4 linked regions of the Schizosaccharomyces pombe genome follow. Changing the gene in region 3 together with the main gene of any one other region gives a genetic interaction. Each region holds a gene or a part of one and is shown on either strand. Other genes may lie near its edges. The genes, in order: top2, mus81, top1 and sub1.

What was found.
Region 1: of top1 (region 3) and top2, changing one enhances a phenotype caused by changing the other (phenotypic enhancement), as found in Schizosaccharomyces pombe (5 studies listed by BioGRID, with this or other methods).
Region 2: of top1 (region 3) and mus81, a mutation in one rescues a mutant of the other (synthetic rescue), as found in Schizosaccharomyces pombe (3 studies listed by BioGRID).
Region 4: mutations in top1 (region 3) and sub1 together harm fitness more than expected from each alone (negative genetic interaction), as found in Schizosaccharomyces pombe (2 studies listed by BioGRID).

Annotation. Positions count from the first base shown.
Region 1 is NC_003423.3:1,975,626-1,983,158, forward strand, and holds top2 (DNA topoisomerase II), read right to left. Parts: upstream 5,643-7,533; 5' UTR 5,142-5,642; coding exon 5,058-5,141; intron 5,032-5,057; exon of another isoform or gene 5,002-5,031; coding exon 628-5,001; 3' UTR 536-627; downstream 1-535. UniProt on the Schizosaccharomyces pombe protein: Control of topological states of DNA by transient breakage and subsequent rejoining of DNA strands. Topoisomerase II makes double-strand breaks.
Region 2 is NC_003421.2:460,678-465,214, forward strand, and holds mus81 (Holliday junction resolvase subunit Mus81), read left to right. Parts: upstream 1-2,042; coding exon 2,043-2,138; exon of another isoform or gene 2,139-2,147; intron 2,148-2,304; exon of another isoform or gene 2,305-2,306; coding exon 2,307-4,037; downstream 4,038-4,537. Other genes in the region: PHD finger domain-containing protein Phf1, read left to right, coding at 1-825; mrpl4 (mitochondrial 54S ribosomal protein uL29m), read left to right, coding at 1,274-1,708; coq5 (C-methytransferase), read left to right, coding at 4,260-4,452.
Region 3 is NC_003423.3:2,941,227-2,946,516, forward strand, and holds top1 (DNA topoisomerase I), read right to left. Parts: upstream 3,371-5,290; 5' UTR 3,355-3,370; coding exon 3,342-3,354; exon of another isoform or gene 3,289-3,341; coding exon 3,188-3,288; exon of another isoform or gene 3,142-3,187; coding exon 811-3,141; 3' UTR 508-810; downstream 1-507. Other genes in the region: HOPS/CORVET complex subunit, vacuolar sorting protein Vps33, read right to left, coding at 3,940-4,709, 4,761-5,033, 5,074-5,290. UniProt on the Schizosaccharomyces pombe protein: Releases the supercoiling and torsional tension of DNA introduced during the DNA replication and transcription by transiently cleaving and rejoining one strand of the DNA duplex.
Region 4 is NC_003424.3:3,078,993-3,083,968, forward strand, and holds sub1 (transcription coactivator PC4), read left to right. Parts: upstream 1-2,005; 5' UTR 2,006-2,019; coding exon 2,020-2,112; exon of another isoform or gene 2,113-2,162; coding exon 2,163-2,480; 3' UTR 2,481-2,575; downstream 2,576-4,976. Other genes in the region: SPOM_SPAC16A10.01 (uncharacterized protein), read left to right, coding at 1-1,176; SPOM_SPAC16A10.03C (Pep5/Vps11-like zinc finger domain-containing protein), read right to left, coding at 2,576-4,858, 4,910-4,976.

The sequences.
Region 1 (7,533 bases), 970 kb from region 3:
GAAATGGTTTCGTGAAAGTTTCAGACCCTACCGCAAAAATGCCTGGTTTCGGGAAACTCAACACTGTTGCACTTTTTATACTACAGATTGGGATATCGATAATATTGCGTAAAAAATCCTTTTTTTAAAAAGCTTGTTTACAGTAACGTAAATGACCAGAAATCAGATGAAAATCACAAGAAAGCAAATAATTCACGTTAAATCCTGATATGTTTGATTTTGTGATGAAATCATGGATGTTCATAGGAATTGTTGAAATTGCGCTTTTTTAACGAAATATACAAGTATCCTGGAGCTTACTTAATTAATTAATGAATCTTTGTTTCTAGATATTAAAATAGTAGCCTCAATTATCAGCGCTTTCTACGTTAGTAAACGAAATTTTTAATGTCAAAAAAATGTTTAATAGACAGTACGAATATGCATTATAATGTTCATAAATAATTTGAGTATGTGTACGAGTTGTCTTTAAACCCACAGAGGTAGAATGTATATATAAAATTAATAAGCTAAGTGTAATACTTAAAAAATACATTAATTGGAACTCGTATCCTACCATTTACAATGTTCATCCAATTTTTTCAGATTGTACTGTAAATAGCGTTTGAAAACACCAAATTTTAGAAGCTAATCACTCTCATCATAATCGTCTACATCCTCATCGTTATCGACGATAAAAGAATCATCTTGCATGCTGGGTTCATCCATGCTATCAAACGAGGGATCAACGTAAATAGGTGTTTTCACTGTAGCCGCTGCTCTTCTGGTTGGCCTCTTTCTAATCGGAGAATCTGAATCTTCTGGTGGCTCTGCGTTAGTCGAACTAGCTTTTGGAGTTGAACTACTACCTGGAATAATAAAATCATCATCGTCATCTTCAGGTGATTGTTTCTTTACCGAGCTTGCTTTTTTCCCTTTATTCTTCGCAGAAGCCTTCGTGGATGTTATGGTGGAAGGTTTCAAACTGCTAGGCAACAAATCATCTTCATCGTCTGAAGAAAATATGGTAGTAGCAACTGGTTTATTAGTCTTTCTTCCTCTTCCAGACGCCGAGGCTGCTATTTTTTTGACGGGTTTTTTACTACCTGCGTCTTCAGAGTCAACAGATTGACTTCTTTTTCTTGATTTTCCACTATCACTGCTATCCAATCCCGGGCTCTTAGATATGCGATTTTCTTCAACTGATAAGCCATGAGAGTTATCCTCTGTCTTGACAATGTTTATGTCAGATGATTTCTCAGGTTCTTTCGACGCTGCGAACTCAAGTAAAGTTTGTTGCTTTCGATTTGTTGTAGATGGTTTGGATTCGCTGCTAGCTTCTTTTTTAACAGCAGTACTTGAGGAGGATCCGGCAATAGCCCTGGGTTTCCTAGTACCAGTGGATTTACCTCGAGGCTTCTTTTTCGTTCGATTTACAAAATCTCTAGAGGATTGCTCTTCTTCTAACATTTCTCTCTGAATATCATCCATAACCTTATTCCAAGCATGCTCAAATGCATCCAAATCATGAAGCCACAATTCTTTAGGAGTTTTTTTAATCAAAGCATCCAGTTCGGCCATTACTTCGTCCTTTTTCTTGAGAAGTTCCACATACCGTTCATAGGTCAAAGACCATAAAGGCATTGAAAGAAGGTAATTGTAGGCATCTGAATCCTCGTCTTGCGAAACATCACCAGATTGTTCTTCTTCAGCAAGAGCATTTTCAACTTCTAAATCAACCAAATGCCCTTTCTTTGGTTTACTGATAGGTTGAAACTTCTTTTCCTTCAGCTCCACAATGAGATCCTTTTTCTTCTTTTTTGAAACTACAAGCTCCCCCTCTATAATCATATGAATAAACCGCGCTTGATTTGAAAATCTATCAAACCTTTTTTCCAATTCATTAACCATATGCTCTTTACGTCTCTGGTATGTCCTTAAACGTACTTCGTAAAACTCGGTCAAAATATCTTCAACACTGTCATACTTCTTGATCCGTCCAGATGCATCAAAAGCAATCATATTACTCGTTGCTTGAGTACGCGACAGTTTAAACTTAACTTCCAAGGATTCATTTAATGCTTCTTTCATGCCAGCTTCGGTAAGCGTGACATTAAAGTGAACATTTCCTTCACCGTGATGGCTTTCATAGTCCACGATGAATTTACGAATTTTTTCCGTACCAACAAGACCAGCCTCCAGATACTCCTTCATATCCTGAGTCCAAAATCGTATAGGCAATTCAGTAATTTCTACTTTGTTTTCACCAATTTGGTTAATTATACCAGATATTTTGTACCTGTCAGGCGCAACTTTCGTTATACTTCCACGAAAGCCGCGGTACCAGGGAGTCATAATTTCCAAAGGCTCGCCATTAAGCATATGTCTTAAATTAGCAGTTATATCCTTAGGGTTATAATTAGGAATAAAAGTAGACCAGCCAGTACCAATACCTTCGGCTCCATTGACAAGTACCATGGGAAGAATTGGCACATAATACTCTGGTTCAATCCACTGGCCTTCGTCGTTTTGGTAATTAAGAAGCTGGTCATCATTGGAATTAAATAAAACACGTGCTAAGGGTGATAAAGCTGTATTTAGATACCTTGAAGCCGATGCATTTTTTCCACCCTCAGATCGTGTACCGAATTGTCCATTAGGCATCAGCAAATTAATGTTGTTACTGCCAACAAAATTTTGGGCAAGATTAACTATAGTTTGCTCCATCGAAACCTCGCCATGGTGGTATGCAGTTTCACTAGCAACATAGCCGGCAAGTCTACTGACTTTAGTTTCATGGACGAGATTGCGTTTAAAACAATAATAGACAACTTTACGCTGACCAGGCTTCAAGCCATCTACTACTGAAGGAATCGAACGGATATTATCAGCCATACTGAATTGGATAAGCTCTCGATTAATGAAGTCATCAATCGGAATCTGAGGTTGAGTATAATCCATATATATACCAGGTCGATACGTTCTAAGCCATTCCTTACGCACATCGGCCTTTTTCTTGGCAAATGCCATTTCAATTAATTCAGCATCCTTCTCCTGCATGGCATGAAAGTACTTCATGTGACGATCAAGGTCTGAAAAATAACTTTTCATATCGTCATGGTCACTTGTTCCCAAACCCTTGTAGTATTTAATTTTCCAACCACGTCCATTGTTATTAGCTTCCTTCCAGTATTCGTACTCGGGTAAAGTGTAAAATGCTTGAACCTGATTGCCACGAGTGCACTTAATGATAGGTGTGATAAATTGGATCAAGAATCCAGGAATTTGCAAAAGAGAAGGATACGAGGATTCTAAATAATTAATAATTAAACCTTTAATATGTGATCCATCATGATCTTGATCTGTCATAATCATTAAATGACCATAACGAAGACCTTTCACATCGGTATAAGTTTTTTTATGAGTGAATCCCATGATTTTCTTGATAGCTTGAATTTCTTTGTTATTTAGGATTTGGGAATGAGAAGCCTCCCGTACATTCAGTAGTTTTCCTCTTAACGGAAAAACTCCATAATAGTCTCTACCAACAACACTGAGACCCGAAACAGCTAAAGATTTAGCAGAATCTCCCTCAGTGAGGATAAGGACACACTTATGGGATTCTTTGGTACCCGCTTTATTTGCGTCTTCGAGTTTGGTTAAACCCGTTATACGAGAACGCAAACCCCCATCGCCCTTACTGAGTTGCTGATCTGCCTTAGCGGTAGCAAATTTTAAAACCTCCTCCACTACAGAAGATTTTTTGATAGCTTTTAAAAATTTATCACTTAATGTGCATTGAGAGCCAAAAGCAGAAACTTTCGTGGTGAGAGTCTCCTTTGTTTGGGAATCAAAGGATGGGTTCTCTATTTGACAATTGACAAATACCTGTACGTAATTTTTTATTTGAAACGCTTTAACGGGTGCCTTTTTATTCTCCTTCTTGACGACTTCATCTATAGCATCGACAATTTTATTGGCAACATAATTAACATGTGTACCTCCACGAATGGTAGAAATATTGTTAACAAACGAAACCTGCTTAAACTGTCCATCTGAAACAGCAAAGGCCACGTCCCAACGGTCATTAACATGTTCATAAATTACCCTAGGAGGCTCTTCATCAGGTTTAGTGTCAGAAGCAAGATACATCTCCACATATTTCTTAAATCCACTTATACTGATGCGTTCATTGTTCAGGTAAACTTTAGTTTCACGAACGGTACCTGCCATATCATAAATACGGCGTTTTATAATAGATACCATATCATCATCAATCTTGTCCATACCAAATTTTGCTAAATCGGGTTTGAATGTAATTTTTGTGTATTCATCGGGTTTCTTGAGAGAAGTGATCACTGGCTCAGACTTTCTGGACATATTGTCATACCAAGTTTGTTTATATTTCTTCATCCTTTCCTTATCAGCTGTCTCAACGACAAATTCAGTAGAAAAAATATTGCAAAGTTTTGCGCCGTAACCATTTCTTCCTCCTGTTACCTTCTTTTGATTATCGTCGTAATTGCTTGAAGTAAGCAAGTTACCAAAAATAAGCTCGGGGATGTAAATTTTCTCTTTATCATGAATCTCTATAGGAATGCCCTTGCCATTGTTATAAATTGATATGACATTTGCTTCAGGATCCAAAGTCACCTTTAGGGTATTCATGTTTGGGTCGCGAACTTTGTTGTCAGCAGCATTGACAATTATTTCGTCAAATATCTTGTAAAGGCCTGGAACATAGGTCACTGCTTTGTAATCCAGCTTGTTCTTCTCAGAGTCAAAGACCCACATTTCAGAAGTCGTTGGCTCAATACTGCCAATGTATGTATCCGGACGTCTTAGCACATGCTCTCTCGGTGTAAGACGCTGGTACTGTGTAGATACATTAGAATTTCCATTTCCGTTGTTGGTAACTAGTGGTATCTGTTCAGAAGCTGTCATGGATGTCAAGCTAGTTTGCCTTAAGTCAGGAGTGCTTGCCTTCTTGGCGCGAGACTTTGAGGATGTTGTAGATGCTTTCTAAAAAAGTTGTTAGTATTTTAAAATAATAATAAATTCCACAAACACTTGCATACCCTTTTGGTGGTTGTGTTAGGTAAAACGTTTTCGTCTCCAGACGCTTCATCTTCATAGTCGGAGAAATCCGCATCAATGGACATAGTTTGTAAAATTAAGTTGGAAATATGTAGTAAATCAAAGGTTATTCCAACGTGTAAACGTTATTATTAAAAAATCAATGGATATAATAATGACACGCTTTAAGCAACGTCAAATAACAAAATTAAGATATGTAAGAAGAGAAAATGATATTTGCCCTTAGTATACGATATTAAAAAACGAATGGAGAAGTGACCTGAAAAAAAAGTAATGGATAAAAAAGAAGGTAGAACGAATGAATACCAAATATAATGTTTTTTGTTAATTTGGATTAATTTTTTGGTTTAAAAAAGTATTAAATAGATATTCAAGCGTTTATATCACCACAGACTGATTCACGTATGTAGAAAGTCGGTCAAAGCAAACGCGTGACGAAAAACTAATAGTATGATGGAAACTTCAGAGATTGTATGTATGATAGTACTAATTTAAATAGTTTGTTTAAAAGCTCTAAAGGGCTATGTGTTCAACTATCCCAACAATGATTGAAGTTGGTAGCTGGTGAAGGATAGGAAGAGAGAACAGAACATAAGTAGATAGAAGTTGCAACCGAGGAATTGATTACTACGGAAAAAGAAAAAGAAAATTATTTTTAAGAATAAATAGCAAAAGAAAGGATTTCTAAATTTCCGTGCGTTATTAATATAGGGATGCGCTTAAAACATAATTGAAGTCTGTAAAAAAACCGTATTTGGAACATATGCTGTAACTAATTTGTAAAGCAAATGTAATAATTAATTAATTGTATAATAAAGAATGTTTGTGCTTTGAAATTAAAATTGAAATTCTTGGTGCTATTTTATATAGTATGGAATAAACAAAGGATTTTGAAAATGGAAAATGAATGTTTAGATAAATCCATAATTCATGAGTATGCTCGCAAAGATTGTAAAAGAATTGAGTGACCTATTACAGTTGGTCATTTGAAAGAAAAACGCTAAACACGATAAAAAGAGATGAACGGAAAGCAATGATGGAAACAGAAACTGCTTTTTTAAATTCTTCTTGATTGTACCATCAGCATTAATCCATATTATTTCGATTAAGCTGTTCTTGAAACATTGTTGTATGTAACTATCATTAAGTTCAAACAATTTAATAGTAATTTTGTGAATATAGCTTCTCCCTCTATTTAACAATTGCAGGTATGAAACAGGAACAAAAACATAGAAAGAACTCTCAAACAACAGACTCATCTAATAAATGCAATAAACTTTTTTCTGAAAATCTTAAAAGAAGCTGCAAATGTAACAAAAAATGGTAGGCCCAGCAGATAGCTGATGCATGGGTTTAAGTATTTCCATTATTTATCGATGTTGCCAACCAATTCCCATTAATGGACGAAAAATAGTGTGAAGTCGATTGTTTAATAAGGAGAGTTACAAAATGGAAGCGCAAGACAAACGCATATTCGGAGTCACTCTTTCAAGGTATAAGCAAGCATTGGATAGCCAAAACGAAATGTGTAGGATCTGAGCAAGAAAAATGCTTTTTGAAGTATCTCAGACAGCTGCTCATAAGTCAGTAAGCGATAAATTATTTAATGGAAGAAAAGAGTGGATCAATAGATCGGCGGCTTCTTTCATTGGATATTCGCACAAAATGTTAATTGACCTAAATTTGAGCCATCTAACATAACCATCACTTCCCTAATTTCCTGTGTATAATAGTCCAAAAAAACGGAATCGGACATCGCGAACATATTCCGCTCGATCAGAGCAGATCAAAAGGTTGATTCTTCAGTGTCCCACATTATAAGGCTATTTCTCGCTTACCAAGGAACACATCAGACCTCCTGAACTTATCCTCCACCAACGTCCTCTTCATTTTAAAATTCATTTTATTGAAAAAAAATCATATTTCTAGCTATCTTGCACCTCTATTTGGCCTTTGCTTATCCCCGGATCCACGTTGGATATTTGCTCGCCTATCGAATAGTATATTAAAAAAAGTTCGCTTGAGAAAAAAATTATTTGTCAAAGTCGAAAGTGGAAAGACGTTTTTAAAAGAAGTATTTTGTGGCAAAGAAGTCAATATCTAAGAAGAAAAAAAGTTTCGGTTGATCTGTAACTAAAATCAGCGTCAAAATAGCATCACCAATACGTCCGAGTGAGAAGCATCAAGGTTCCTCAAAATCAAGAAAAACTTTACCAATATTACTTCTATTGTTTTATCTAGCATTAAAAATAATTTCATTTAAATACAATCCTAGAGCGGGATTGTTGAAAAGAAACCCAACCTAATCTTAGTTTATTTGAATTTGCTCAGCTAATTTTGAATGTGACTATATTGAACACTCAAATTGGCTAATTCTTCGTTTAACAAACATCGAAAACTATTTATTTCTTCCCATCTTTTTGTTTATTAAAAAAAAAAGAAAGGAGAACAATAACA
Region 2 (4,537 bases), on a different chromosome or scaffold from region 3:
GATATGGTCACCTTGTGTAGCGTCTGTCAACGAGGACATTCTCCTTTATCTAATCGAATCGTATTTTGTGATGGATGCAATTCTCCATATCATCAGCTTTGCCATCACCCTCCGATTGACGATGCAACCGTTCAGGATGTGGATGCTGAATGGTTTTGTATGAAATGCCAGTACAGGCGTGCCAAGCAACCTTTAGAAACGGGAATGACGGCACAAGATCTTGGGTTAAGTGAATCAGACAAAAAAATGTATCTATCAAGTTTACCTACTCCTCATCTCGCAGATCTTATTCTTTTTTGTGAAAAGTCTTATCCATCTCTTCCCATATACAACCCACGTACTCGGGAGTTGTTGGGTGAGATTCGGCATCAACTACTTGTTAGTTCTGAACGCCAACAAATATCTTTACAAGAGCGACTTCATGCTAAACAAGATGAAGCTCCCTCTGATGAGCCTGCACCTGTCCCCTATACCGCAAGTTATGTTGCGAATTCTGGAACCTTATACGACTATCCAACGTTAATACGGTTAGCTATTCGTAACACCCTCTCACCTTCCAAAGATGAAATATTTAACTGGCTTGCTCAAAACGTACCATTGTTACCAACTTTTCACGACAGCGCTTCCGAGGCCATTCGTTGGATGGTAAATAAAGGTCAACTGGTCCGTTCCGGTAGCATCTATCAAATAGCAACAGTCGAAGAATACCCTCACCTCCAACCCTCTTTACTTCCTACTTTTCAACGAAACCGTAAGGTACCTAAATTGGTGCCTGTCTCTTTCCCCACCGATGATCCTCAAAATTTATGTGCTACTGTTTTATGAAACTGAACAAATTTTTCTAAATGTATAGACAAAAAAAATTTCTTTACTTCCCGTTTTTAATTAAACGGTTGCGTCCCGTTAATCTCGAAATAAATTTATAAGCGGTCGAAAGCAATGTATCATTACACCATGTATTAGCTGCAAATCAAAGTACTTTAGTATTTCCTTCATGGATTCAAACTTTTCACTCGATAACAAATCTAGGGAAAATACATAAATCGCCCTACACACTTTCTGTTTACATTATAAACTTTTCGTTTGGAATGTTTCCTCGCCATGAAATCTTAAAATAAAATAAAATAAGGAAATGAACAATTTCTCAATTTAGCAATAATTAAGAAAGTCAATGAAGTATAATAAAAAATAATTATTTTTAAAGTATGACTTACAACCATTATTATCGGTCAATGTCAGGGTGTTACAGCGCACCTTCTACTTACCACCAAAGATGAGGTCCACGTTGGCTAGCGCTCAGAAAGCAGCCGTACGTATTCCAAAGGGCTTTGTATTTCCTGTTCCAAAAGTAAAAAGTGCTCCTAAGGTTTCAGACACGCACCCTTTGTGGAATTTCTTTCGGGACAAGCAAGCCCTTCCACCACCATCGGAAGAGGCTAAATTCGGTAGAGCATGGGCTGCAGAAGAGCTTCGTTGGAAGTCTTTTAATGATCTACATGGACTTTGGTACAATTGTCTCCGAGAGAAGAACCTATTGTTCACACAAAGGGCTGAAATGAAACGCTTACAGTTGACTATTCCCAAAGCCTCAAATGAGCGTGTACTTGCAGTCAATAAAACCATGGCAGCTATCAAATTTGTCCTATGGGAACGCCAAAGAGCATATACTTCTGCCAAGCAGCTCGAGAAACAAAAGGGATCTTCTTAAACCCCTTCCTTTTAGGAAAACAGAAAATCATCCAAGTATGGCTTTATTATGATCTAAAGCTTCATCATTTCACAAACTTTCTAAAAATATACCCTAATACACGAGAAACTGTTTTATAATGATGATAATGATTTTTTATTTTGTTCACCTATAATTGTTTTCTTTATTTTGTTTATACTGATCATAAAATCTCGGTTGTCCCGGCAACCATGCTAATGTCTTTACACGAAATTTAGGAAATCGCATTCTATCCACATCCATTTGTTTAGACTTTTGTTTCGTGTGACAATCGATAATTTGAATGAAATAGTTTTTTTCTTTGTTTTTCGGATCCATGGATTGTGGAAATCCGCTGTTTTTACAATGGATACAGGAGTGGATGGAAGAGTCGACGCGTCGCTTCCCCAAGTCATATCAAACCTGGAGAAAGGTAGGAAATTTATTGGATTAGTGAAAAACTCTTTGAAAAATAAATAATTTAAATATTAAATTAATAATGACTGTAATTTTTCGAAAGCTTTTATAGCTTCGTACTCCATAAATATCATAACAATCACTGTTGTTGTTGTTTTAAATAAGAAACCGTGCTAATAATTAGGCCTACGATTCAATGAAAAGTTGCCCCATCACATTTCATCGTCCTTCTCAGGCATTGGCACTGAAGGGAATTGGCCCTACGATTTGTGCCAAGCTAGAAAAGAAATGGAACGCTTACTGTTTGGAAAATAATATTCCAATTAGCACGCACAATGAACAGAATGATTCTCATGTCAATGCTAATAAATCGTCTTCTGAGACTTCTTCTGAAAAGCCTCGAAGCGTTAAAAAACCGACTACAAGAAAGAGAAAGGTCTATGTTCCGAGCTATCGTTCTGGTGCATATTCAATTCTTTGCGCTCTTTATATGCTTAATAAACACGAATTCGCTACAAAGCCTCAAATTGTTACGATGGCCCAACCGTATTGTGATTCGTCCTTTGGATCTGCTACAGACCGAAACATGCGTTATACTGCATGGAGTGCTATGAAGACTTTGATCACAAAAAATTTAGTTTACCAGACAGGTCATCCCTCTAAGTACTGCTTGACCGACGATGGTGAAGAAGTTTGCATACGTTTGGCAAAAGTAGACGATTCCTTTCAACGGAAACATACTGTATCAAACTTTTCTGTCTCTAAATCCGATGATCATGATTCCTCTTTATGCCAACCTCCAAATTTTGTTACATCAATCAATAAAGCAGGAAGTTCTTCAGACCACGGAGGTGAACTACATGTTACTTACTGTCCGGTAGATCATAATGAAGTTTCTGATGGTGTTGAAACCGATATAGATGTTGATCAGGTGGATTCGTTGACCGGAATTCATGATCACCATATCATTAACAATGAGCAGTTGATTGACTTGACGGAACAAGAAAAAAAGCAACCAAATGAAAGCAATTTGTCTAACTTAAAAATCGAGACGGTATTATTCTCAAACTGTACGGTTTTTCTTCTGATTGATACTCGAGAAATACGTTCTCCCTTGGATCGCAATCTTATTATCGATAAACTGACTAATGACTTTGGTGTCAATTGTCAGGTACGATCATTAGAATTGGGAGATGCTTTATGGGTTGCAAGGGATATGGAAAGCGGTCAAGAAGTTGTGTTGGATTTTGTCGTTGAAAGGAAAAGATATGATGATTTAGTTGCTTCCATTAAGGACGGAAGATTTCACGAACAAAAGGCACGTCTAAAGAAGAGCGGAATACGTTCAGTCACCTACATTTTGGAGGAATCCTCTTATGATGAAAGTTTCACGGAATCAATTCGTACAGCTGTTAGCAATACCCAAGTCGATCAATTATTTCATGTCCGTCATACGCGATCACTTGAACACAGCGTAAGTTTGCTTGCTGAAATGACAAAGCAAATTAACCTGTTTTATGAGAAACGTAAAACCCTCGCTGTCATTCCCGATTTGTCGATAGAAGCCAAAACTTATGAGTCGTTACGAGAGCAACTTCTAAAAATTGATCCCTCAACTCCTTACCACATATCATACCATGCATTTTCCTCTGTCCTCTCGAAGTCTTCTACTTTGACCGTGGGGGATATTTTTATTCGAATGCTTATGACTATAAAAGGTATAAGTGCTTCAAAAGCCATCGAGATTCAGAAGAAATATCCAACATTCATGCATTTATTTGAGGCGTACGAAAAGTCATCATCTAGCCAGGAAAGAAACTTATTACTGAATAAGACTTGTCAAGGCTATGGTTTTCAAACAATAGGGCCAGCACTTTCCGCCAAGGTCGCAAGCGTTTTCTTTCCAGAATCTTGAGCCTTTGAACTTTTATTTATTTATGATTCATAATATTTATTCAATTTTCTTATCATTTCCCATATATTTAATTTACCTTTGCTTTACCATCGGAAATTGCGTATGTTAGTGTATTGCGGTATATAGGTAGCATCAGATTCCCTTCAAATCGTGAGTTTCTACCTAGCACTATCCATAAACAAAACCGTTACACTTGGTATTCGTTTTTGAAACTGCTGTATCATGTCACGTTTAAGAGCTCCTGTTGCTAAATTTTTAGCTGATGGATTGAAAGGAATCAGGTCTACAGCTTTGGCTGGCTCTCGATTGTCTAATTGTCGCTATACCAGTACTAGCTCGAAAGATACTGATACCTCAAGCCACATGACTCATTTTGGATTTAAAGACGTTCCGGAAGATGAAAAAGAGCACCTTGGTATGTATGGAAGAACTGGTTTGCTAGGACATGTGATTTGATTGTAAATCATAACATTTTGCATTTTGCATTTACTGAAGAAATT
Region 3 (5,290 bases):
CTCGTAGAAGGTAGGATCCAAATGCTAGTGTGTTCATACTTTGTTTTACGTAATTTAATCTTTACCAACCCGATTGTATCCGCTCGTGGTTGCATTGGATTGCTCCAGCAAATAGTGAGACAAAATCTCTTCCACTGATATTTCTGCTATACCGGAACTTGTGCCAATCTGACAAAGAGAACGAAAAAGTGGAAACCGGGTTTAAAGATGCGAAAAAGGCAGTCAAATGTAAACGCTAGAGAAAAAAGTAATTTGGATGGTATAGAAGTGCTTGAAAAACTATTTAGTACAACCAAAGAAGAGTAATTGGTATAAAGATTAAAAAAGCAGCAGCTTGGCTTTTCTTTCCTTTTCTATTTGTAAAAAAAAAAAAACAAAAAAAAAATTGTTTACAAGAGTAAGTTTGCTTGTATATTGAATTTGATGATCGTAACAGGCATTTCACCAATATTAAAGAAAAAGACCTCAAGAGTAAACAGTAATTATGAAAAAAAAAGCCAAATGCAATGGGGATAGTATGAAATGTCACGTTCAATTTGTTTTGTGCTAAATTTTATTCTGTCTATATTTTTGCTGAAAAAACTTCCTTAGCTTTGCATTTTTTGTATGAATTTTTATTAAACACTAAACTAGAAGTAATTAATTCCTTCTTTCAGCACACTAAGTTGTTGTACGCTAGCATTCATTTCAAGACATCATTAAGTCACGAAATTACGAAGCACTTTCACAATTTGTCTGCCGTAGGATGATAATAAATAATTTTTTTTTAAAAAGTTCAATGAAAGATACTTTTCTTAAATCGTAGAGGACTTACCACTTCCAATCCGGAGGTGTATCAGCAGCCCAATTGAACTTGTCACGAATCGTCTTACTAAACAGCTTCTCAATAGGAACGTCTTCTCGCTTGCTGAACGAATAAGTAAGCCTCGGGTCTATGTAGTTAATCTTACTTGTACCCAAAGCAGTAGTTTTATTCTCGTCTTTATCGATCATCTGAGTACGCATAACATTAATTCGTTCATTGAGTTTGTTTAATCTTTTCTCAAGTTGTTCCATCGAAGAACGACCTGGATCGACTTTTTTGCTTTTAAGTTCAGCGTCCAGCGCTTTCTTCAACTCATCAGCCGCTTTCAATCGAACTTCCAATTCAGATTCCGGAAGCACTGATTTGGGATCCTCAGCAGCTAATTTTTCGTTCTCACGATCGAATTTCTTTTTTATTTTCTCTTTTTCTAGTTCGTAAAGTGTCTCGTGATGTTTTACGATCCATGAATCGGTAATGCCTTCTTCTTTAGCCAGCAATTCGGGCTTGCTTTTAGCAAGCTTGGGCTCTAAATTCAGCATCATTTTTCGCAGTCTCATCCGCTGGTATTGTAATGCCTTAATCCTTTCGGCAAACCGTTCCATTTGAACATCGTGATTTTTGGTTACGGAACGTTGATGATTACATAAAATTGCAACAGTCCTATTTGCCCTATTATAAAATAGTATTTTGTCTGCAAGGGTGAGGTTCTTAGGCATTTTCTTAAGTTCCTCGGCCATGGTGTATGAAGCATTGTAGGTACGAAATACTTTAGCTGAAAGTCCATCCATAAGGCTAGTCAGATATTTGTTAAGACTGTTTGTACTGAGACGGTCGAAAATTAAATCACCCTCTTTTTTGGGAGGACGTTTAAAGATCTTTAGATTTTTAAAAACTTGGGGATCAACTTCAACCTCGTTGTAGTAACGAATAGAATCTTTACCAAGAAAATCGAAAACGACTGTTCGTGGTGGCTTCAGTGTAACATGTTCATATCGCAGTGAACAACAACCAACAGTATCCGCCTCGTCTTCACCCTTTTCATTTCCTGCTCTTAAAGCAAAAACATCAATTAAATACATGGCAGTTCCTCTTTGACGCTCAACCGTTAACTCACTTTTCAAATCTTTCCGGTAGCCTTTACGGATATCATCAATATAATCCTTAAGCTTTCTTGACTTTTCGTATTTTTTTAAGTCACTCTGTCCTTTTAGAGAACTTCCTGCAGCTAAAAAGACATATTTGACATTATTATTTATATTTTCATGCCAGGTTGCCAACCAGGTCACTGTATTATCATGCTTTACCTCCGCCCATTGATGCCCAGGGAGTGGTTCTGGAACGGGTACACCTTCACCAATATTAATGGTAATTTGTTCAGGATATACTCGACGCTTTAAAGAACCAGTTTTAGGATGACTACCTCGACCACGAAATAACCCTGGAGGTTCAATACGAAAGTTACCAACCTTCTCCTTTCTCCCATCAAGTATGCACCATTTATATTTTTCCTCTTCCTCATCTTTTTTCTGCTTTATTGCCTTCTTCTGTTCCTTCGGCATACTCTTCTTCTCTTCCCTCTTTTGCTCAAAATGGTGAAACATTTGGGTAAAATCACATTTAGAAAACTCTTTAATGTTGTGATTAAAGTTACATTCATCACAGACCTTTAAGAAGTCACGGAAAAAATTATCTTGGAATACAGGATTTTTGGCATGATCGGTTTCAAGCATTGCAGCATAAAAACCAGCAACTTCTTCTGCTTCGGGAGGAAGATTTACGGGGTTTCCATCGTAAATTAGCTTGACGTTCTTTGGTAAAGGTTCATAGGGTGGAGCAAAAATTACACCATTATGCTCCAATGTAGTCCATTTTTGAGTATCATCGATATTTTCTGAAGTCCACCACTTGTAATCCTCATCTTCATCTTCCTCATCGTTTGGTGAGCGATTTTGCGTGGTCGAAGCTCCCGAAGGCAGTTCTGATTTGTAAGGAGTTAAAGATACAGTCGAAACAGCTCTCAATGGAACTGAATCATCTGTGTCACTTTCCTCTTTTTTAACAGCTGACTTCGCGCCATTTTTACTTCCATTCGCTTTAGAAACACGTTTATGCTTCGGTGAGGGCTTTGCAATTTCATTGAAATCCTCTTCCTCTTTTACAACCGCCGTTTTTTTTCCGTTTTTTAAACCACCATTTCCCATTACTTTAGCTCTTTTTTTAGAGCTTGAATTGGACATATTTTTCTTTGAAGAAGCACGTCTCTTTCTAATCGGTATATCATCCTCATCACTCTCGGATTTGGATTTCTTATTCAACGATTCACTAAGAGGATGATTCTAAACAATTAGTCAACAATCTTTAATTATTATGTTGTGAACATACTTCAGAACTATCACTCTCTTCGTCCGACTCCTTCATACTAATCCGTTTAGATGAACCGCGTCTTTGCCTCCTTCTAATGGATAAAGACACGGAATCTGAATCTTTTCAGTTGTTAAAAATTTTGCAAATGTTGTTAAATTACGTGAAACCTTACCAGACGAAGACATTGTGAATTGTTTGCATACATCTATAATACAGTAAAAGAAGGATTAATATTGAGTACGTACACTCGTTGTCATGACAACCAAATATTGACAATTAATGTTTGTAAAAATTAGTAGCTAAATGAGAAACTGGAATTTTCAAATAAAATAAAATTTAATGTTACGAAGCTTGCAGCAAAAAGCTATAAATGTGCATATTTCAAAATAAACCCATTAACAGTACGAGAAAAGTAATCTCTAATAATTTTGAAAGCTTTAACTTTACATTTATTGTAAACAATACCAAAAGCCACTGAATATCCAAAACAAAAAAAAGGTGATTTGATTGATACAATAAGCCATTAGCTGCCAAATATTGGAGGTTTATTATTTAATATGTAAGCTAATATTTTGGCAGTAAATAGCAAATAGCTTAACAGCATATAGGGAAAGCTTTAATGCCACTTCAAATTCATAAACTACTAAGGACTTAATAAAGTGGGTTAATAAAAAAAACAATAATTAAAATTATGGGATTCTCTTAGTGAAAAAAAATGAGATTAAATATCGTCTTTAGCTGTTGAACAAATTAATGAAACTGGGTGATCATCACTCATTCAAAGATTCAATATTTGGAATAAAAGCTCTTATTAGAGAGCTTCCAGTTACCATTCCCGTAGTCATAAATGTGAATTCATATAAATCTTCTTTTTCTTGCAATAAACGAAATGCAGCCAGCTCTGTGTACGTGCAACCACCGATGAAAAAAACTAAAACACGACGTTTACCTGGTACGTTTGTCTTCAAATTTTTAGGCATGACCTTTTCCTGGTCTAATGTCCACTTGTCAACGTAAGTTCCAGGCATATTTTGCAACTTAAGAATTTTTTCTTCATTGTCTCTGCCTTTTAAAATGTCATATGCTATGTGGACTGACAAAGGACCGTACCCGCTGTACGTATAGGCTATATCTTCAGGATTCTGCTCATCAACTTCGTCCTTAACCAAAGGATAAGTGTTTAACCATGTAGAATAAGACAATGATTTTTGAAGTGAAATATTAGTGGATTGCCGGAGGCGCAATAGTCCTGCATCTATCAAGGCTTGGAATGTTAAAAGGTGATAATAACCATATGTTTGAGTGATTTCCCTACGGTAATGATCTATATCTTTTCTTCTCAAACCATTGGTAGTTATACTTGCAAGGCAAAGTACTCGAAAAACCTCTTCAACAGGTGCTTCGGCATAGATAATTTCATCTAATAAATTGAATTGAGTAAAAGAATCGGCATGAGAAACTAGCAAATGCTGAAGTTGTAGTAGCTTTTGAAAGTAATTATTTTTTGTGTGTTGCACCAAAGTTTCAGCGAGACCAGTGTCTATCTAATTAATAAAATTTTTTATGGAAATCAAAAGAAAAAAATACTTACGAATATTTAATGATGTATGCTCCGATTGTAAGGAACCCAGTTTGGAAACGAAGTCTCTAATCTGATTTACAGTTTTGGCTTGACGTCGACCTTCAAAATCGCTGGATAGTTTTCGAGCAATTTTGCTTAAATAAGGGCCTATGCAATTAAAATTTATGTCTCTAATTTCCTTGGTAATTTGGCTGGAAGAAGAACTTAAAGAAAACTTTTTCATCGGTCCAGTATTTGAAGCTTCATTTCGGTTAACCAAGGATGAAGGAAGTTTGACATTCACTAATCAGTTAGATAAATAATAAACAAATATGAATCATACTTTGCTGAATTCCAAGTATTTCGTCCAAAAATCCAAAGTAGGTAAGTTGAGTCAAAAACGGTGTAATACGATCTAATGATCGATCAACTAAAAGAACGCTATCGTAGAGAGCAGAAATCTCTCCTTCCACCTTCCCAAAGTTTATTGTTGCTTCTTCCTGGTATGTTTTTTCTAATAATTCCAACATTTTTGCAGCATAGGGGCCCCTCCCAGAGAC
Region 4 (4,976 bases), on a different chromosome or scaffold from region 3:
ATGTTTGTTTATTTTAAAAAGCTTGAGCAGTATAGTCCTGATGTTTTTGTCGTTCGCGTTACATCTCAAACCGATTTAAATAGGATGGTTTTAGTAAACGAAATTTTTCGAAGGGTTATGAGGGATAAGTTGAGTGCGGAAGATGGTACAGAAGTTTTGCGAAACATCACATCTTTTCGCCCTTTGTACAGAGATTGGCTTGTTGCCTTCATGCATGGAGTTGCGAGCGCTTCGATTCTACCAGTTGTATATGGAGGTGGATGGAGAGATATGTTGATAGGCTTCGTGCTCGGTCTATTGCTTGGTATATTTCGTGTTTACATTAATCCTCGATTTTTCTTATTTGACAGTCTTTTCGAAGTTATTATTTCAATTATTCTATCATTTCTGGGCAGAGCATTCGGAAGTATCAGCAGATACGACAAACCTGTATTTTGTTTTGCTGCTCTCGTTGAAGGAGCCATTACTTTAATTCTTCCAGGTTACGTAGTATTTTGTGGCGTTTTGGAGCTTCAATCAAAAAACATTGTGGCAGGAGGTGTTCGAATGTTATACGCCGTCATTTTTTCATTATTTTTAAGTTTTGGGATTACCATTGGATCTGCTCTGTATGGTTGGATGGACAAAGATGCTACCGATGCTGATACATGTATGAGTATAATTGCAGTCAGTCCATACTGGTACATTCTTTTAATCCCAATATTTACGTTGAGTCTATTAATCGTGACCCAGTCTCATCCTAGACAATGGCCTATTCAAATGTTTGTGGCATGCTGTGGATATGTGGTGTATTACTTTTCTTCCTTACATTTTGGTGCTAGTCAGATATCAAGTGCTATAGGTTCATTTGCAGTCGGATGCTTAGGAAATATGTACTCACATTTCATTAAATCTTCTTCTTTTGCCGTGGTACTTCCAGCAATCTTTGTTCTAGTACCTTCAGGGTTTGCAGCTCAAGGAGGTGTCAGTGCTGGACTTGATACAGCTAGCCAAATTACCAGCAAAAATACAACTACAAATACTACTACTGTTACAACAGAAAATTCCCAGAACAGCAGTCTTGAATTTGGTTTTACAATGGTTGAAATTGCCATTGGAATTGCAATTGGATTTCTTGCCAGTTCTCTTACTGTGTATCCGTTCTTTGGTTATCGACGAAAAAACATGATGCTTTAAATAAGTATTTCCAATTCGCGTGTTGTTGAAACTTAGTTCTCAACTACACGTTAATTTTCAAAAAAAAACATGTTGCTTGCCTGTTTGTTTTAGGTATTGCTACAATTCTGTGTTTTAATTTATATTGTATCAAGACGATAGATATTCTTCTCACTCCGTTATCTACCTGACATTGTATATTTCACCGCGTCCTTTATATGTTCCAGTTCTTTTTTTTTTCAATCTAACTATTCATTTAACTCATTACTTTTGGAATGTCTATTGCTAAAGTAAATGCTGTATTATATTATTACTACTGTTAATATTTTAATAATTTAATTCAGGCGTTGTGAAAACTTTTGATGCCTGTCCCATTATAAGTAAATTTTGTTATTATTAGATATAACTGAAAAACTTAATATATGAGATCTAATCGTATTCCATTACTTTTGCATCTCTAAATGTATACTATTTGTGGGGATACGCTTGCCTTTGCCTATGTAAATTAAATTGCAAACGGAATGTAATTTTCAATAAATCATTCACAAGCAAATTCAAGGATGGCGATTAAATATGGGTTGCAGTAATAACAGGCAAAGGGGTTTTTTCATATTAATCATAAGTGTTCTATAAATGGATTTAGGTGAAAAAAGTCCCCACGTGAGTATCCTAAAATTCATACCCAGCCGAAAAGCACTTATAGTAAGTACGCTAAACTTCGCATACTTTAAATACTCATAAATTATGACAAGTTTATACTCACATCGGTAAGCTGATAACACCGCTACACATAGCAACTCCTTATGTGGTGAATGTGTTACCATCCTTGGAGTCAAAATGTGATTTTACCAATACGATTTAAATATGGCTGGAAAACGAGTGATAGCTTCGGGAGACAAAGCATCCAGCAAAAAGCCTAAAACAGAGAAGCAATCCGATCATGAATTGCACTGGGCAGTAAGTTCTTAAAAGAAATTCTGCGAAACTAATAAATTGTTTTGGATTAGTTGAATGAAACGGAAAAGAAAAGAATAACTTTGTCAGAATTCCGTGGTACTAGATATGTTCATATTCGGGAATATTATGAAAAAGATGGTGACATGCTACCAGGAAAAAAGGGGATTGCTCTCAACATAAATGAATGGAAAAAATTGAAACAACTTATTCACGAGGTAGATGATTCTTTAGGATTAGTCGATAGCGGCTCGGATTCGGAAGATGAGATTAAAGAAAAAGCTGAAAACAACGCATCCTTAAAAAATGATGAAGACGACTTAAATACCAAAACAGAGAACAAAACTGACGACTCTTCGGTTGAAAATTAAACAGTGTTGTGATTCAACTGATGAGTAACAAAAGAAAATCTTCTCGTTTAATCAGATTAGATTCAAGCAATGGCAAACGTTTCATCTATTAAACATTACAACATAACTGAATCAATAGATTCAAAATCGTGAAATAACTCAGAAAACGTAGACGTTTTTTTCTGATCATGTGAATTCTTTTTATCCAAATAACCCGCCTTGCATTTTGGACATACAGTTTCAGTAGCACAATCACGGTGTACTAAATGTAGACAACTGTAACTAACAAAAGGAACATCTAAGAGACCTTCACAGTTGTCGCAAACTTTTTCTGAATCTTGTATAGTTCCCAAAAGCTGCCTTTTTTTTTCTATGTCATTTTTAATTACCTGGATTTCATCATCATTTTGATGGATGCGAGTTTCATAATCATTCATCCATTTAAGAAGTAAAGGCTTAAGAAAGCAAAAGTTCAACGTGCCGTCTTTCACCAGAATATTCAAAACATGTTGAATGGGGATACGAAATTGCATAAAACAAGCCTCCAAAATCTTATATAAAATATCTTCGTACTTGTTAGTTATAGATCGTTCACGAACAAAGAATTTGAGAACATGAAGGGCGTCTTCGCTGCTATACGTTTCACTAAGGGTTTTTACGGTTTCAGGATCACTGATTATTTGCTGAATTAAGGAATCATCTTGACCTTCCTTAAGAGATAAATGAGAATACAGTAAGTCTGTCACTTGTTTCCAAGAGACCGCCTGCAAACAAAGAATGGACGATTCGTAGTCTAAAAGGCCTTGACTATCATGAATAATTTGAAGTGCATCTAATTCATTTTGGGGGTTAGAGTGTTGTAGCTCTTTTTGCATTAATGCATATAGTTTCCGTGTGTAAATGAATTTTAGTACATTTTCTGATTTCTTGCTTTTCAAAAGTTCATCAAGAAATATTAATTGTATCTGTACGTTTTGACTGAAAATTCCTAAATACACGATTTTAAGAATATTTGACAACTCCTTATCTTTGCCTTGGGAATTTAGAATTTCGATATTTCTTATCGCTTCTTTCATAAACCTCATCGGATCCGAATTAAATAACCAAATACCAAATGAGTTAGATGTTCGCAACAATTCCGGTAAATTACAAACTTGAAGGTGATTAAACGCCTTTTCAACATCACCTTTCTCTTGATAAACTTCCATGCATACATTTGGGAGTTTTCGAATAGTTCCTAGCAGCTCCATTTGATCTAAGCACTTGTATTTCCTTAAAATTGGCAAAGAAATTTCAGTAGGGCAACCGCTTACATATTCGGTAAGCTTGTCCAATTTTCTAAGCTTGATATACAAGTATATTAACGTTGATATTTCATGCGAAAACGCGAACCCCTTAGCAGAAAGTGCTTCCAAATAAGAAGTCAATTCTTTAATTAATTTTTTTTCCAAGTAAAATTTAATTATCTCTGCTGAATCAGAAAACGGTATAGCTTCAATATAATAATACGTAGCGTCTTGAAAGTTTAATTGCTGGCGACATTCGCCAGCAGCTGCAAGAGCACATTCGCGAATTGTATCTTCAGGAGAACCCAGGTAATTAGCAATTTTAAATGCATCCTTATGCTCTTTTTTTCCCTTCATTTTGCATAAAACAAAGTCAGATGGAAGACGTATTAATTGACAAGGAACTTTAGTCGAAGAAAAAAATATACAATCAAAAGAATTGAAAAAAATATTATCATAGCTCTGTTCAAGTAAACTTTCATATAGAACATAGCGTTTCTCTACGTCCAATGCTTTGATTTCGCGTATAGATGAATTGTTTTCCAGTCCGTTTTCACCATTTTTTCTAGTGTATACCACAAAAACAAGCCCAAAACTAGAAAATAGGAGTTCAAATGTACCATCGACACAGTATGTGTTTTGTAACTGCATATCAGGAGTGGTATAAACAGAAAGAAAGGAGCCACCAGCGCACATGATATACTTTCCTTGATACTGAATTGAACAAAATAAAGGTATACCATGATTGGAAATGACCTTTTTGGTGTTATTTTTTATCTTATAAACCATAACCTGAGTCGTGGTAGAAACAAATAGTTTTTTAGGTGAATATAAGATAAGATTTGTTATAGAATCTTTTTCTCTTAGTATAATATCTTGTCTTGATCCCAAATCTCTTACAAAATCACCTTCAACGCGTATAACCAATCCATTTGCAAATCCACAAACCACGGTTTTAATATCAATCGAAACATACAGTGAAGTTGCAGGAAAAGGTGGATTCGGAATTCCATATAGTCGATGCTCGTAAAGACATAAAGGTGAGTTTGAGTTTGTTTTTTTAGATGGATTCAAGGACCAAAATTGTAAATAAACAAAGTTTTGCTTATCAAGCTACAACCAACATAAATTATGATTAGCATTTAAACATATCATGTGACTTACAACAACACAGCATAAAGCCGATTGATCTGCAGTTATGTAGATTTGTTGGACAATGCCTTGTTCGCAA